Linked DNA regions of Arabidopsis thaliana. The protein of the gene in region 1 interacts with the protein of each later gene in a pairwise test. Each region holds a gene or a part of one and is shown on either strand. Other genes may lie near its edges.

Region 1 (8,669 bases):
ACATAAAATATATGATAAAAACAAAAATTAATGGAGTTGAATTTAGTGTTACCTATAACGGGTATTAATTATACAAAAGTATGTAAATTAGTAAAATAGTGAATCGCCCATGAAGTTGCATAATCTTGTCTTGTAAACAAATGTATTGTAATGACGTGACGTTGTGTTAGTAGAGGTATGGAGACAGATATGCTCTTCTGATCAGTTTCTCGTCCGATCAATATTATTATCATTGTGGGACGGTCCTACTCGACAAATTATAGAGACACCCACGTTTACATTATTGTAAATATTTATATTTTTAGCTAACTTCGGGCCTACTGTCACTATTTGCTAGCTATATTTTCTTCAAAATGAAACCGTCATCTATATTCAATGTCCTGTTTCAAATAAGCTCAAAATATTTTGGTCAAAATTACCTTTACTTGATGGAATTTTGCAATGCTTGATACATTATGTTTATGCAATTTTATGGTGCATTATTATATGTATGTAAAGTATCTAATTTTTAAGTATACTCAACAACGAATAACTAAAACATAGATCATATCTAACACTAGTGTTTGTCTCTAGCGATAATAAAACTTTAAATTCTCTAATGTCTCTACCAATAGAATATTTTTGTGTGATATATATGTATATATAGAGCAAACAATGTGGAAAGCGACTGGGAAAATAAAGGAACCAAATGAGAAAGGGAAGGGATACAGCTGGGGAAGTCAACATCCAAATCAAAGATCTTTTGATTCTCACTCACATATCCCTTTATTAAACCGTATCTCTTCCCATTTAAACCGACACAAGAAAATTTATTAGGTATCACGGTTAATACTTTATTATTCAGTAGAAAGTATTAGTATTTAAACAACTAAAGAGAAGTTTTTTTTTTTTCTTGCAATAGCTAAAATTCCATTTTGTATACTCTTAAAAAAACTATGTTAGTATTATTGATTTTGGCCAAATGTATGGGGGGATTTTTTTTTTATAGTATTCTCATCTACTTTTTGTTTTTGTTATTGACTGTCTCTGATTTCTTTCTCGTGTATTGTCTCACTTTTTAAATCATTATCTTAGATTTTTCTTAATAAAATAAAGAAGCAACATACTATATACTATTCTAACATGTAGGATGATAACCTTGTAAGGGCCATAACTTTATGGAATTTCATTTGTAAGTTTGAATAATTACCAATCGAGTGAAGTGAGCATGAAAACAAAGTGATTCAGTGAAAGGGGTACATTTATAACCACATAATCATCATATACTAACCATTTCACTATCTATTACCGTTTCTAAATATTTTACTGTATTATGGTCCTTTAATTTGTGTTTTAACTTTTAGTGGCTAAACGATGCCATAGGACCCAAGGCCATCACACATTGATATCAATCAGAAAGAGAATAAGCAATTATAAGTTTTCATAATAAATATGTGATATAAAACTTGGAGATAAATCAGAATGGGATTCGGAGCATAAGGGGATAACATTAGAGAGATGGATGTAGAAAGAAAAGGACATTGAGTAGGTTAGACGATTCTTATCAAACTTCACTTAAAAGGGTAATCGACCCAACAACATTTTAGTTCTCTCTTTCTTTTTTGGTTCTTTAATTTTAATTTATTTTCCAGACTGTAAACGAATATTAACACTACAGAAGAAACCAAAAATGTTTTTTTTTTCGGCCTAACTATTTGGGATCAATACGATTCGTTGCTTATTTTTTTCTAGTAACCTTCATAGGTTTCTCCAAGCTTTCATTATTTATTGTAATTGATCTCCACTTTAAAAGTAAAATCCAATAAATCAGCATTTCCTAATTATATACTAGTAATATTTTTTCACTTTTATTTTTATCATCTTATATATAGGAACTATATGAATGTAAATGTTTTCACGTAACGTTTTGGACATATACAACTAGTAGTTGCTACTAATTCCAATAGGAACAATTATCGCTATGACAAAAACAAATATCAAATAAGATTATTTTCCAGACAATGACGTATCATTATAATAATAAATTTTAAAATGTTTTATTACAATGAATCTCCACTTATTATCAATCCATCTAGAAACATTAACCGAAAGATGAATGTTTTTCTACATCCATGAAACTAATTTTTTAGGTCAATGTCTGTTGTTGATCCTCTTTTATATATTAGAAAACTATATAAGCACCGTTGGATTTTCTTAACCTGAGAGCGACGCTAACTATAAAGAAAGATCATCATAACATATTATATGTCAAAATCAGTATAGTCAGATGATTTTTATTAACTTTAAAAGTTTTTACAACTTTCACGAACATGAATTGTATGGTGAGAGAAGCTAGCTAGAGAAATAGTTGATTTTTTGATAAATGATTTAACCTTTTTGGCTCCAAGTCTCGACGACAACTTTCTCTTGTCTCTTCTCACTTCTCTTTCCTCTCTCCTCTCTTCTCAAATCTCTCTCTCTTTCGTATTTCTTGGAGACATCTTTCTCTGGAACTGTTCTTCATCGAATTCTATCTTTTGAGAGAAACTAAATTAAGTTGATAATCGAAGAACTTCCTCGAAATTAGGACTTCTTCTGCTTTTTGTTGTTTCCTAGAGATTTTCCTAGAACGTGGTCCAAGAAAATCACACAAAAAGGTTCATTCCTTTTTTCTTACCAGAAACCACAAATCAAAATCATCTCCCCTGTCTTTGTTTGAAATCTCTCAAATTTAAGAAGGATCATCCATTCACTAACCTGAGATTTTGGATAGGTTTCATCTATTTCAGGTACGATAATTCTTCATTATATTTTGTTTAATCCCGTTGCTTTTCTTGGTTTTAAGTTTTGAATCTTTAAGCCTCACATATTTGTTTTCTTTACTCAATCTAAGGTTGTTTTATTTCCAAAGATTTAAAGGATAGATTCTGTGAAAAAGTTTCTATAAATTTCAAATTTTCAAATGTGTAGGTTACTAGCTCTACTAATAACATAATTACTTTATCCACTAACTACAATCTGCATGACTCATTTTTAACTTGATTGTTTATTTAATTACCTTTTTAATCATTAATCCTTGATAGATACTCAATTCTCAATGTTGTGTTGTTCTTTTTTCATTAAAATTCAATGCTTTTAAAGTTTATATTCACAGATTTAGAAGGAGAGAGAGAGAGTAAAGATAGATCATTTGCTTTACTTTCAAACAAAATAATTAAGAAACTGAAAATTTAGGAGAAGGATAATAAACTTTCTGCACTGTAATGAGTACCTTTAAAGCTCACTTTTGGAGTTTGTGTACTTAAGCAAGCTTAATATGTCCATCTACCATACATGATGTATAAATGTATCACAACTAATTTATGATTTATACAAAACTGTTCACAAATCACATGCACCCATTCTTCTTACAAAATCTTTGCTATGATTGATTTTTTATATATATAGTAATATACGTGCATAGAATATAATAATAATAAACAGTAAACACAATTGGAAAACCATAATACTATGAAAATCCCATACATTAAAATATCAAATTTATTTTGAGTGGATTATTAATTGTATAGTGGTTAGTTTGTTGATTTCATATCTTTATTTTTCTATGTAGGTGGGAATTCCAGTGCATCGACCATGATCAACACCTAAACTACAAATTGACCGTTTTGCCCTTGGGAATCACTATAAATGTCGAGAAGACCAGACCTCCTACGTGGCAGCGTGGTCGCCACCGTGGCTGCCACGTTTCTCCTCTTCATTTTCCCGCCGAATGTTGAATCGACCGTTGAGAAACAAGCTCTGTTTCGCTTCAAAAACCGCCTCGACGACTCTCACAACATTCTACAATCTTGGAAGCCTTCCGATTCACCATGCGTGTTTCGCGGCATCACATGCGACCCGTTATCCGGCGAAGTCATCGGTATTTCTCTAGGAAACGTAAATCTCTCCGGCACCATTTCTCCATCAATCTCAGCTCTCACAAAGCTCTCTACGCTATCGCTTCCATCTAACTTCATCTCCGGAAGAATCCCGCCAGAGATAGTCAACTGCAAAAACCTTAAAGTTCTCAATCTCACCTCCAACAGACTCTCCGGAACAATCCCAAACCTTTCTCCTCTAAAGTCCCTAGAAATTCTCGACATCTCCGGGAATTTTCTTAACGGAGAGTTTCAAAGCTGGATTGGGAATATGAATCAGTTGGTTTCTCTCGGTCTTGGCAACAATCACTACGAAGAAGGTATAATTCCTGAGAGTATTGGAGGTTTAAAGAAACTTACTTGGCTGTTCTTAGCTCGCTCCAACTTGACCGGGAAGATTCCAAACTCGATCTTTGATCTGAATGCTCTCGACACTTTCGACATCGCGAACAACGCAATCTCCGATGATTTCCCAATCTTAATCTCAAGATTGGTAAATCTCACCAAGATTGAGTTGTTCAACAACAGCTTAACAGGTAAAATCCCTCCGGAGATAAAGAACTTGACTCGTTTACGCGAATTCGACATCTCTTCGAATCAGTTGAGCGGGGTTTTACCTGAAGAACTCGGAGTTTTGAAGGAGCTCAGAGTTTTCCACTGTCATGAAAACAACTTCACCGGCGAATTTCCTTCTGGTTTCGGCGATCTAAGTCACCTCACTTCTCTTTCGATTTATAGAAACAACTTCTCCGGTGAATTTCCGGTTAACATCGGCCGGTTCTCGCCGCTCGACACGGTTGATATATCTGAAAACGAGTTTACTGGTCCATTTCCAAGATTCTTATGCCAAAACAAGAAACTACAATTCTTGCTCGCCTTGCAGAACGAGTTTTCCGGCGAGATTCCGAGATCTTACGGCGAGTGCAAATCTCTATTGAGACTAAGGATTAACAACAACCGTCTAAGTGGTCAAGTTGTTGAAGGATTCTGGTCTCTACCGCTTGCTAAGATGATTGATCTCAGCGATAACGAACTCACCGGAGAGGTTTCTCCTCAGATTGGACTTTCAACAGAACTGAGTCAGCTCATTTTACAGAACAACAGATTTTCCGGCAAGATTCCTCGTGAGCTCGGAAGATTGACTAATATAGAGAGGATTTATCTGAGCAACAACAATCTTTCCGGCGAAATTCCGATGGAAGTTGGAGATTTGAAAGAGTTATCATCTCTGCATCTTGAAAACAATTCATTAACAGGATTTATCCCTAAGGAATTGAAGAATTGTGTCAAACTTGTTGATCTGAATCTCGCTAAGAACTTCTTGACCGGAGAAATCCCTAACAGTTTATCTCAGATTGCTTCTTTAAACTCGTTGGATTTCTCAGGGAATAGGCTAACAGGTGAAATCCCGGCGAGTCTTGTGAAGTTGAAGCTGAGTTTCATTGACTTGTCTGGAAATCAACTTTCAGGAAGAATACCACCGGATCTTTTAGCGGTGGGAGGATCCACCGCGTTCTCACGTAACGAGAAGCTCTGTGTTGATAAAGAGAACGCTAAAACAAATCAGAACTTGGGGTTGAGTATTTGCAGTGGCTACCAAAACGTGAAGAGGAATAGTTCACTCGATGGAACACTCTTGTTCTTGGCTCTTGCAATTGTTGTGGTAGTACTAGTGAGTGGTTTGTTCGCGTTGCGTTACAGAGTTGTGAAGATACGTGAGCTTGATTCGGAAAACAGAGATATCAACAAGGCGGATGCGAAGTGGAAAATCGCGTCTTTTCATCAAATGGAGTTGGACGTTGATGAGATTTGTAGATTGGATGAAGATCATGTGATTGGATCTGGAAGTGCAGGAAAAGTGTACCGTGTTGATTTGAAAAAAGGTGGCGGGACAGTGGCGGTTAAGTGGTTGAAGAGAGGAGGAGGAGAAGAAGGTGATGGAACAGAGGTCTCTGTTGCGGAGATGGAGATTCTTGGAAAGATTAGACACAGAAACGTGTTGAAACTCTACGCTTGTTTGGTTGGAAGAGGTTCTAGATATTTGGTGTTTGAGTTCATGGAGAATGGGAACTTGTATCAAGCTCTTGGCAACAATATTAAAGGCGGTCTACCAGAACTGGATTGGCTCAAAAGGTACTCTCTAGTCAATAAGAACCAGTTTCAAAATGGTTAATCATGGATCCAAGATTATAAGAAAGAAAAGTGATTAATTTGTCCCTTTTTGTTGGATAAACAGATATAAAATTGCGGTGGGAGCGGCAAAAGGAATCGCATATTTGCATCATGATTGTTGTCCACCCATCATTCACAGAGATATAAAGTCAAGCAACATTTTACTTGACGGAGATTATGAGTCGAAAATCGCAGATTTTGGAGTTGCAAAAGTTGCAGACAAAGGATATGAATGGAGCTGCGTTGCTGGAACTCATGGCTATATGGCTCCTGGTGAGTTTCCAACTTAACTATAAACTTTGGTTCACAAGATGAAAACTGGGAACTGATTCTTTTTTGTTGTAATTGTGTGATATGATCACTGCAGAGCTGGCTTACTCCTTCAAGGCAACGGAAAAGAGTGATGTGTACAGCTTCGGTGTGGTTCTTCTAGAGCTAGTTACCGGTCTTCGGCCTATGGAAGACGAGTTTGGAGAGGGGAAAGACATTGTTGACTATGTCTACTCTCAGATTCAACAAGATCCGAGGAACCTTCAAAATGTTTTGGACAAGCAAGTTTTGTCCACTTATATAGAAGAAAGCATGATTAGAGTTCTGAAGATGGGTCTTCTCTGCACTACGAAGCTCCCGAATCTCAGACCGAGTATGAGAGAGGTCGTGAGAAAGCTTGACGACGCTGATCCCTGTGTCTCCAATTCTCAAGACACAACTGGAAAGATTACAGTATAGATTGATGATTCACCTACCACGTTTTAGTTATGGTTAAGACTAGTCACTGGTCAAAGAAGTATCAGTTTGTTCGAGACTTGAGTAAAAGTACGAGAGATTGGTTTTTGCTTATTTACTAATCCGTTGTACTAAAAAGTTTGCAGTGAAAGGTCGGAGTTATCAGAAAGAGACTTGGATTAATTTATATTAACTACTGTGGGTGTGTGTTACAGGATATTATTCTTGTGACGATAATACACGAAAATGTTACCTCTTAATTGACGAATTCGATTCCGGTGAGAGGAAGTCCTTCATGCAACTGAAGCGCGAGGTCTCCGACAATCTACATTTAACAACAGTAAGAGTTTAGAATCCATTTCCAACCAAATGCAGAAGACATATCAGAAAGAGTGAATCTTCCTTGGATGAGTTTACCTTGGCCATGGACCTATATGAATATTCGGTAACTCCAGCGACATGAGGGGTTATTATAACGTTTTTGAACTTCAAAATAGGATCATTTGGATCAAACGGCTCAGACCACGCCACATCAATCCCAAGGCCTCCTAGATGACCGGACTCCAGATTCTGGAAAGCTGATTCATAGTTAATAAGACCACCTCGGGCAATATTTACAAGAAGAGCACCCTGAAACAACCAAAGAGAAGTCAACAGTCACCAGTAATCACAAAATAATTCAACTCCGTTGACGACAAAAAAAAAAAAAAAAAATTCAACTCGGTTTTTCCAAATATGAATAGCCCCGGTAATCACCTTTTTCATTGAGCATATGAACTCCTTATTCACTATTTCAGCCTGAAAATGTCATCATGTAGAAGAAACAATAGCCATATTATCTAAATTGCAGATATATTTTTCACTGCCAAGAACAACTCTTCATATTCATTTGCTTGACAAGTTTATGATGAAGGAGAAGTGGAAATATTACCGTTTCTTTGTTGAGCCTCAAACAAACAACGACTATATCGGCTTTGCCAGCGAATGTGTAAATGTCTTCATGGCTACCTTTCTCATCAACTAGCCTGGCTGAAGATATAAGTTAACAAATTACTAGACCTCAGGATGGTTTGTCAAGGCAAACAGAGGAGTTAAAAGAGAACCCATACAGTCTGAGTCGACGATAGAAGCAGGCCAGAATCTTTTCGTGGCTATTACTCTCGACCCAAATGGCTTCAACCGTTTAGCCAGCTCTATTCCGATGTTTCCATATCCTAAGATAAATACCTGTATAATAGAAAGAAAGAAAAACAAACAAACTTTGTTTAGGGATATAAGCCAAAAGATATCTAATGCAGATTTAAGATCACTCTAAGACTCACAGTTTTACCAAGAAGCGTGTCACCGGTTGGTTCTCCAAGTAGTCTATTTCTCAGAGATATTTGCATTTCGTTCTGCAACATGTCGTACGAATTACCTTTAGCTAAGAAAGAAATATCAGAACTAGCACTTGAGACACTTAAGAGTTATACTAATGGAACCATACAGAGGCAAATCAAATAAACACCTGTTTCTTAAGAAGTCCCAGCATTAGATATATAGCCATCTCAGAGCAAGATGCAGCATTTCCAGTACCCTCACTAGGAATTCTAGCGACCTTAATCCCATGTTTAGTAGCAGCATCAATGTCAACACCTTCACAAGTAAATGACTTGAAATAGTTAAGTAAAATTGCAGCTTAAGATGAGTCCATTTATGCTCTATCGAGTATTAATGCATAAGAAAACTGAGACAGATACCGTCGAGACCAACACCGTACTGCATAATAAGCTTTATGTTGCTTGCACGAGATATAACATTTGAATCCATTTGCATAGTCATTGCCACACATATATGATAGTTCTTAATAACCTCAGGGACATCGCGGTAATGGAC
Region 2 (7,937 bases), 8.1 Mb from region 1:
AACAGTTCAAGTTTGTCTTCTCTAATCAAGAAAAGAAATGGATAATCTGCCACAAAATCTATGGGAGGAGGCGGCATAATAGCGCTGCAGCCACACAAGTGCAACTGTGCAAGCTAGAGCAGTAGCAGCCGCAGCTTCTGCACTTTCTTCATCGATCTCAATCAAAACATTAAGATCCATGTCACTGAAAACTCTTGAAGCTTCAAAACAATCTCAAAATTTGGAATTCTGAATTCACCAACTCTATCTTTCCATCTCGGAATGTGGCTGTCCTAGAATCCATAACTAGATGTTATTTCCTCGACAGGCTTATCCAATCCATCTTTCTTGTCCGGTAGAAAGAAATACATTGAGAATTGGCGACTTGTATCCTTATAGTCTACTCGGTATTGTAGTATTCTAAGGACCTTGAAACCATTGTAAGCCTTCATATATTTTCTTTCATAGCTTTTCATGAAAGGCACAAGTACTTGTTTGCCATTGACAAGGTGGAAAGGTTTGTGTATCGTCATTGACTTACCGAATTTGTTTTCCCAAGCTCCCTTGAAGTACAGTGCGTTTCCATAAATCTTAATGGTTTGGTTTGTAACAGATCCAGGAGGTAGAAGATTTTTGATGAGACCATTGGTGTGACGTAAAGCCCACGAGTTCACCTCCATACGCACTTCCTCGGCCTTCAAAACAACAAAAACCATTAACACAATACCACAAACCAAAGATCACACACACACACATATATATATATATATATATATATATGTAGTTTCTCTAAGCACTTAAGTGTACAGTGTCAAACATCTGTTGACCTAATTTATTTATAGAAATTCGAAACCTAAAAGATAGGAAATCAACTTGAGCAAAATCAGCTTGAAGAAATTCTCAAAGAGATCCTTGGACCTGGGACTACACGAAAGTGAATTCTCTATCTATACTCCATTGACTGCCGCGTGGACCACCTCTTTAGCTTCCTTCGACAAGGACAACGGAAGCGATTTCGCGGAAACAGAACCATACTCTCTCCTCATGTTACCATTAAAGATTTTTGGAATGACATTTTGAATTCTTTATCTACTAGATGCACAATTAATCTCACACAAAAACTTAATCCAGCTTATGTGAACTACCATTTTCCCTCGAAAATCTATCGTATGTCATGTTGACACTTAACACAACATTAACTTCAAGTCATCAATAATTTGATGTAAGTAAATTGTAATGTGTGGTCGGCCTAAAACCCCTTTTCAACAAAACCAAATATTTTTACTTTATTGATTCTAATGAGTATATATTTTATTAATTATAATTTTGAACAATGACCGAAAAAAGATGTCCAAAACAAATCATCAAATCGCTCTTGCACTTCCTTTTTTTTCTAACACCAATCGCTTTGCACTTCAATCAATTATATTTTGTTTGTTTCTTAAAAAAAAACAAATTACCTTCCTATTTTGCAAAGATTTTTAAATTTATTACTTTGGAAGAAAAAAACTAATTCTGATTCTCCACCACATACAGGAAATAAAAAATAAAAAATAAAAAATAATCTAAATCTACCTTAATTCACATAGGACATAGCTTAGAGGTGCATATCGGAAAGGTACCTATGGGAAAGGTTATTTCTGATTAAAGTAAAATTATCTAATATATTATTATTATTAGCAGTTTCACATTTTCTAAACTCAATTAAGCATCTTAGTGCATATCCTAGGAGGGTATATATGACAAATATTGTTTAGAAAAACGTATATATTCAACATGCTGAATCGTTTTTGTAAATACAATTAAGTTAAATGTTTTCATATCATATTCAAAGTTTATTTAAAAGAATCATCGGATAGTTTGACCAATTTTTTTTTATAAATCTTATTAGGCAACTAATTATGGAGTTATTTTTAATTAAGTGTAGTTGACAAAAAAAAAAGTGATTTACAAAAAAAAAAAATCAATATATATTAGATGAAAATTGTATAATTGTAACAAAAAATAAAATATATATGTGGAATTAAATAAATAAACCTTATTTCACCAGTTAAATCATTTTTTTGGGAAAGTAATAGTCATGGTTCACGATTTTAATTATTATTTTTTCTTGGACAAAATATTTATTTTATATTCTAAAAGTACATATTTTCCTTTTAAAAGAAAGAAAATAATTAATATGTTCTCGAATGTTTAAACTTAAAACACGTTCCACCTTCCATCTACACGCATCTGCTTAGTCTCAACCATTTGTTTTTCGAAATCATTTTTTGATTTCTTTTTGTTATTGTCAACTTTCCTACTCCTTCATTGTTTCCATTTTTTCATATCATTCGAATCCATCGAGATTTATTTCCAAAACCCTATCTGAATTTGACTCTATTTATTTGGTCCAAAGTCCAAAACAGAGTGCAACATTCGCCAAACTGCTAGAGAACATAAACTGAGGATTTGTTTTGTTGGTTTGTAATTTCTGGGAAATTGTTTCGTAAAAGTTTTGCTTGGAAACTGTTTCGTGAAAATAGAAAAAAGTAAAGAGACATTGTTGACCTCTCTTCTTGGTTCAGAAAAAAAGGTGGGTTCTTCTTTTACGTTACATTCTTTTGCTATCTTCGTTCTTAATCACTTTTTCAAATTCTACACATTTTGGAATAAAGTAAAATTCCTTTTTTTGTTTGTTTTTTTCATAAAGGTTTCGTCAAATTGTTGGGTAGCTATCTCTCATTAATTAAAATCAAGTTTTTCGATTTTTCTTTGGTAATTGACATTAACCAAACTTTTAGTGATAGAAAATTTGTGGTTATAACCAACTTTCTCTTCTTAATCTCTTCTTATTTCTTTTGATGTTTTTCTATATTTTACTTTTTGGTATATGAAGAGGTGGGGAAAGTTTCAGCCTATGATCCAAGGCTAAATTGTTCTTAGAACAAATTTTGGGATTTTCTGGAACCCTCTAGATTTCTGGAGGCAACACAAAATTGGAGTTTGACTTAAAGTCATCAATTATTTGAATTCTAAGGTAATTGTAATATGTGGTTATTAGCCTCCACACAACTTTATTCCTGAAAATGAAATAATTCTCTTTTTATCTTTTTCTAGGGGGCACCTAATGAAATGTCACCAACCTAACCGAGAATCATTTACTTTGCTAGATTCTGTATACATATTCTTATATGTACTTGTGACGCTAAGAGACTCAAGAAGCTTCAGTAACATCTCTTAATGATGTCTGAAGATGGCTACAACACAGATTTTCCAAGAAACCCTCTATACATTTTCTTTAGTGATTTCAGGTAAAATATATTTTCTTGTATAATTCTGTTTGAGGTCATGGCCTCAAGAAGTGAAACTTGAGAATTGGTTTTTCTTTGATGTATCAGATCAGTTCTGAAATTTGATGAGCTCGGTTTAGAGATAGCGCGAATTGCTTTACCCGCAGCACTTGCTTTAACAGCTGATCCTATTGCATCTCTAGTTGACACAGCCTTCATAGGCCAAATTGGTAACAACAAGAACAACAACTCTTTTCATTTGTTTATTGTTATTTTATAAATGAAAATTATTGGTGTAATTTTCGGTTCTTGTTGTGGTGATGACTGATAGGTCCTGTAGAGCTTGCTGCAGTTGGAGTTTCTATTGCTTTATTCAACCAAGTTTCAAGAATTGCTATTTTCCCACTTGTTAGCATCACAACTTCCTTTGTAGCAGAAGAAGATGCTTGTAGTTCTCAGCAAGACACAGTCCGAGATCATAAAGAATGTATTGAAATTGGTATCAACAATCCAACTGAGGAAACTATAGAATTGATTCCTGAAAAACATAAAGGTATATATTTGTTCTTGCTAACATAATCACTCCTCTGTTTTTTTTTGTGGTGGTAATAATCACAAGTATATTCATTTTTATTTCAGATTCTTTATCAGATGAATTTAAAACCAGTAGCAGTATCTTTAGTATTAGTAAACCTCCAGCCAAGAAAAGAAACATACCATCAGCTTCATCTGCTTTAATCATTGGAGGCGTTCTCGGCCTTTTTCAAGCCGTGTTTCTTATATCCGCAGCCAAACCTCTCTTGAGTTTCATGGGAGTAAAACACGTAACGTATCGATCTTTTGTTCTCTATAAATGATGTTATGAGATTCAAAATCACTTAACATGGTTTGATTTTTTCAGGATTCTCCAATGATGAGACCTTCTCAGAGATATCTATCTTTAAGATCACTTGGTGCACCAGCTGTTCTACTCTCACTTGCGGCACAAGGCGTTTTCCGCGGATTTAAAGACACGACAACTCCGTTATTCGCTACTGGTAATACTATTTTTTTCATATGTTCAAAATCCTTAAAACAGAACAAAGCTAATGATCCACTTTACTTTTCTTGTTTGATGATTAATGATCCACTTTTTTTTTGTAGTGATTGGAGATGTAACAAACATAATACTCGACCCGATTTTCATATTTGTTTTCCGCCTAGGCGTAACAGGAGCAGCCACTGCTCATGTTATATCCCAGTGAGTTTAGTTTTGCATGTGAACCTTGAATAATCTCAAAATGGCCTCTACTTTAATTGACTAGTGGTTTCTATGTTCATTTTCAGATACCTTATGTGTGGAATACTCTTGTGGAAACTGATGGGTCAAGTTGATATCTTCAACATGAGTACCAAACATCTTCAGTTCTGTAGATTCATGAAAAATGGTATTGTAAAATACTTCAAAGAAAATTCAATGTGTTTACAATGAAATCTCTGATAAAATAACACTGTTTGGTTCTTGTTTTCTTGTGAAATATTTCTCTCCCAGGCTTTCTTTTGCTGATGAGAGTAATTGCAGTAACATTCTGTGTAACTCTCTCCGCGTCACTAGCTGCACGAGAAGGATCAACTTCCATGGCAGCTTTCCAAGTTTGCTTGCAGGTTTGGTTAGCTACTTCACTTCTTGCAGACGGGTACGCCGTAGCTGGCCAGGTTTTTAGATAATGATGTCTCTAACATTGCATCCTTTTACGATTAAGCGCGTGGTTTAAAGTTTTAACAAATGTCTTTTCCTTTAGGCAATACTAGCGAGCGCGTTTGCCAAAAAAGACTACAAAAGAGCAGCAGCTACCGCCTCTCGTGTACTGCAGGTACACACAATTTATGCATTTGTGTTTGCGTTTACATTATGTTTACGATTTTGGATTTATATGAAGAAAATATACACAGAAAGTATACATAATAGGTAATTCAAAGGCAAACAAACAATGGAGGCCTATGTGTACTTTAGCTTATAAAGATTCGATTCTAGATCAATTTAAAGCTAAAGAACTAAATCTTGTGACAGTTGGGATTGGTTCTCGGTTTTGTACTTGCGGTTATACTTGGAGCAGGATTGCATTTTGGAGCAAGAGTGTTTACAAAAGACGATAAAGTTTTACACCTAATTAGCATAGGACTTCCGGTAACTAATCATTTCCCATTAAACCACTAATCAGGATCAATATTATTACGTAACATTAATTTGGCTAAAAATCATTTCTTGTTTCCTAAAGTTTGTGGCAGGGACACAACCAATTAATGCCTTAGCGTTTGTGTTCGATGGAGTTAACTTTGGAGCATCCGATTTCGGTTACGCCGCAGCTTCATTAGTAATGGTGGCTATAGTTAGCATCTTGTGTTTGCTCTTCCTCTCATCGACTCATGGTTTTATTGGACTTTGGTTTGGTCTCACCATTTACATGAGTCTTAGAGCAGCCGTTGGATTCTGGCGGTAAAACTTTGTGAAACTCTCTGTTTCTTGTAGTACAAATGTAAAAACTTTTCCAACTTTCTTATAACAGAATGTAAATGTGACTGTAACAGGATTGGGACAGGAACAGGACCTTGGTCTTTTCTTAGGAGCTGAAGAAGGAATTTTAGAGGGAAGAGCATGTTTTAACTGTTCTTAAACCTTTATTTCTAATGAGGTTGTGTAACTAAATAAAAATACCAAGAGTACAAGTCTGGAGATTCAAATAATTCTATGCGATTTTTACTGCTACTCTTGTAAATATTCAAGTTGTATCCTGTAATTAGAGGTGGTTAGTCCAATTTTTGGAGGTTTTATTTCAGATATTGTAGTTAAATATAGAAAATCGATAGAACATATAGAAACTGATTTTTGTTTGGTTGACTATAGTGTTGAACTTCAGATTAATTTTTTCAAAACAAGTAGTTCGAATATGACTTCTCAAATGATATAATTAGGATGTCAGTTTTGGTTTGGTTTTGTTTCAGATTTTGTGGTTCGTGAAATACAAAATATATCAGCTGGTTTGGTTTTGACAACAGTGGTTTCAAATCAGATTCATCTTTCTTAAAACAAGTAATTAAAAAATAAACTGAGTGAATTTCGTGAGAAATATGGTTTGTTTGAATATAAGAGTTTTGATTTAATTTTTCTTCTTTTCTTTTTGGTTTAGTTTTGGATAGGAGTTTATCAAAGAAAATTCATTTTAAAAATATATGTTTTGTTTTTTTCTTCATTAGAAAAAAAAAACACATTCTGAATATGCAATACATATTTATAAACAAAGTGCTAACTCTATTCACATTACACTTCAGTTTATTAACTAGATTGATAAAATTTATCATCTATTAAATATAAATAGTTTGACATTTCTAAAATACGTGAAAATTCATTAATAAAAAACATTTATAAAATAAAAGAGTGGAGGTATTTGTCACATATTATATATTTCTATAATATCCAAACTTATAAGAATAAATATCGTATAATTGAATCTCAACCGATCTACAATTTTTTTTACAAAAATTGCAAATAATAAAATAAAATAAAATTTAATAAGGCCTATGTTTAGAAAACTCTTTTCTTCAACATGATTGGCTCATAGCCACCCTCAATTATTACTTTAAACCAAAAATAAAATTCCAATCTTTATTAGCAAAATTAAAAACAAGACCAAAACAAAAAAAAGTAGAAACCTTTACGGAACTCCTCTGCCATTCTTTTCCAATCTAAGCCAAAACTCAATTACCCTTTTTCCGATTTACCGGAGAAACTAAATCTCCGCCATGCCTACCACCACCACCTCCTCCGCTTCTTCCTCCTCCTCTGCCTCCGGTAACAATCGTCAATCCGATGTATTCTCTCGTCTCGCTTCTTCTGACCCTGAAGTCAAGCTTAAGGCCCTTCGCGAGGTCAAAAACCAGATTATCGGAAATCGTACAAAAAAGCTCTCTTTTCTCAAACTCGGAGCTATTCCCGCCATAGCTTCTGTTCTCGCTGATGCTGACGATTCTGATGAATGTAATAACATCCTCGTGCAATCTGCGGCGGCTCTTGGCAGTTTCGCTTGTGGGTTTGAAGCCGGTGTTCAAGCTGTTCTTGACGCCGGCGTTTTCCCTCATCTTCTTCGTCTTCTCACTAATACTGACGAAAAGGTTTGATTTTGAATAAATCTATTGACTTTTTTTTTTGTTAAAGTCTAATCCTTTTCCCCCAAATTTGTGTCTAGATTCGAAATGACATTAGAATTACTTGTGGGTCTTTGAAAAGAAAGCTTGAACGATTTAGAATTACTCTTGTCTGAATCTTATTAGTTTGGGACTTGTGGTTAAAGTTTTCACCTTTTTGAATTGTCTGCATCTGAGGAATTAAAGCATTGGCCTTTAGAATTTTGTGGATCCTCTCTTGTCTTGCTTTCTTATGGCTTCCTTATTGCTTCTGTTTCGTATTTATGATTCTTCTTCAGGTAGTAGATGCGGGGGCTCGTTCGCTTAGAATGATATTTCAATCTAATCAAGCTCCAAAGTATGATTTTCTTCAAGAGAAAAACATGGAGTTTCTTTTCTCGTTGTTGAATAGTGAGAATGAGAACGTTAGTGGGCTTGGTGCGAGTATTATCGCTCATGCTTGTGGAACAAGTGTAGAGCAACGGGTTCTCTGTGAAGCTGGTGTCTTGGAGAAGCTTGTTATCC

The links.
Region 2: the proteins of AT1G72180 (region 1) and AT1G51340 interact in a protein complementation assay, tested with the Arabidopsis thaliana proteins (one large-scale study listed by BioGRID).

What each region holds. Positions count from the first base shown.
Region 1 is NC_003070.9:27,160,408-27,169,076, forward strand, and holds AT1G72180 (Leucine-rich receptor-like protein kinase family protein), read left to right. Parts: upstream 1-2,412; 5' UTR 2,413-2,768; intron 2,769-3,589; 5' UTR 3,590-3,666; coding exon 3,667-6,029; intron 6,030-6,132; coding exon 6,133-6,341; intron 6,342-6,435; coding exon 6,436-6,797; 3' UTR 6,798-7,023; downstream 7,024-8,669. Other genes in the region: AT1G72190 (D-isomer specific 2-hydroxyacid dehydrogenase family protein), read right to left, coding at 7,051-7,119, 7,212-7,424, 7,551-7,592, 7,726-7,823, 7,904-8,021, 8,117-8,188, 8,302-8,429, 8,534-8,669. UniProt on the Arabidopsis thaliana protein: Receptor kinase involved in the perception of C-terminally encoded plant signaling peptide (CEP) and subsequent regulation of root and shoot development.
Region 2 is NC_003070.9:19,028,820-19,036,756, forward strand, and holds AT1G51340 (MATE efflux family protein), read left to right. Parts: upstream 1-2,178; 5' UTR 2,179-2,554; intron 2,555-2,854; exon of another isoform or gene 2,855-2,857; 5' UTR 2,858-2,998; intron 2,999-3,078; 5' UTR 3,079-3,201; coding exon 3,202-3,272; intron 3,273-3,359; coding exon 3,360-3,481; intron 3,482-3,582; coding exon 3,583-3,804; intron 3,805-3,890; coding exon 3,891-4,075; intron 4,076-4,152; coding exon 4,153-4,288; intron 4,289-4,394; coding exon 4,395-4,491; intron 4,492-4,577; coding exon 4,578-4,678; intron 4,679-4,782; coding exon 4,783-4,946; intron 4,947-5,032; coding exon 5,033-5,104; intron 5,105-5,301; coding exon 5,302-5,418; intron 5,419-5,509; coding exon 5,510-5,727; intron 5,728-5,819; coding exon 5,820-5,862; 3' UTR 5,863-6,288; downstream 6,289-7,937. Other genes in the region: AT1G51330 (Serine protease inhibitor (SERPIN) family protein), read right to left, coding at 22-184, 349-674, 933-1,025; AT1G51350 (ARM repeat superfamily protein), read left to right, coding at 7,032-7,400, 7,712-7,937. UniProt on the Arabidopsis thaliana protein: Citrate transporter critical for aluminum tolerance. Responsible for citrate exudation into the rhizosphere to protect roots from aluminum toxicity.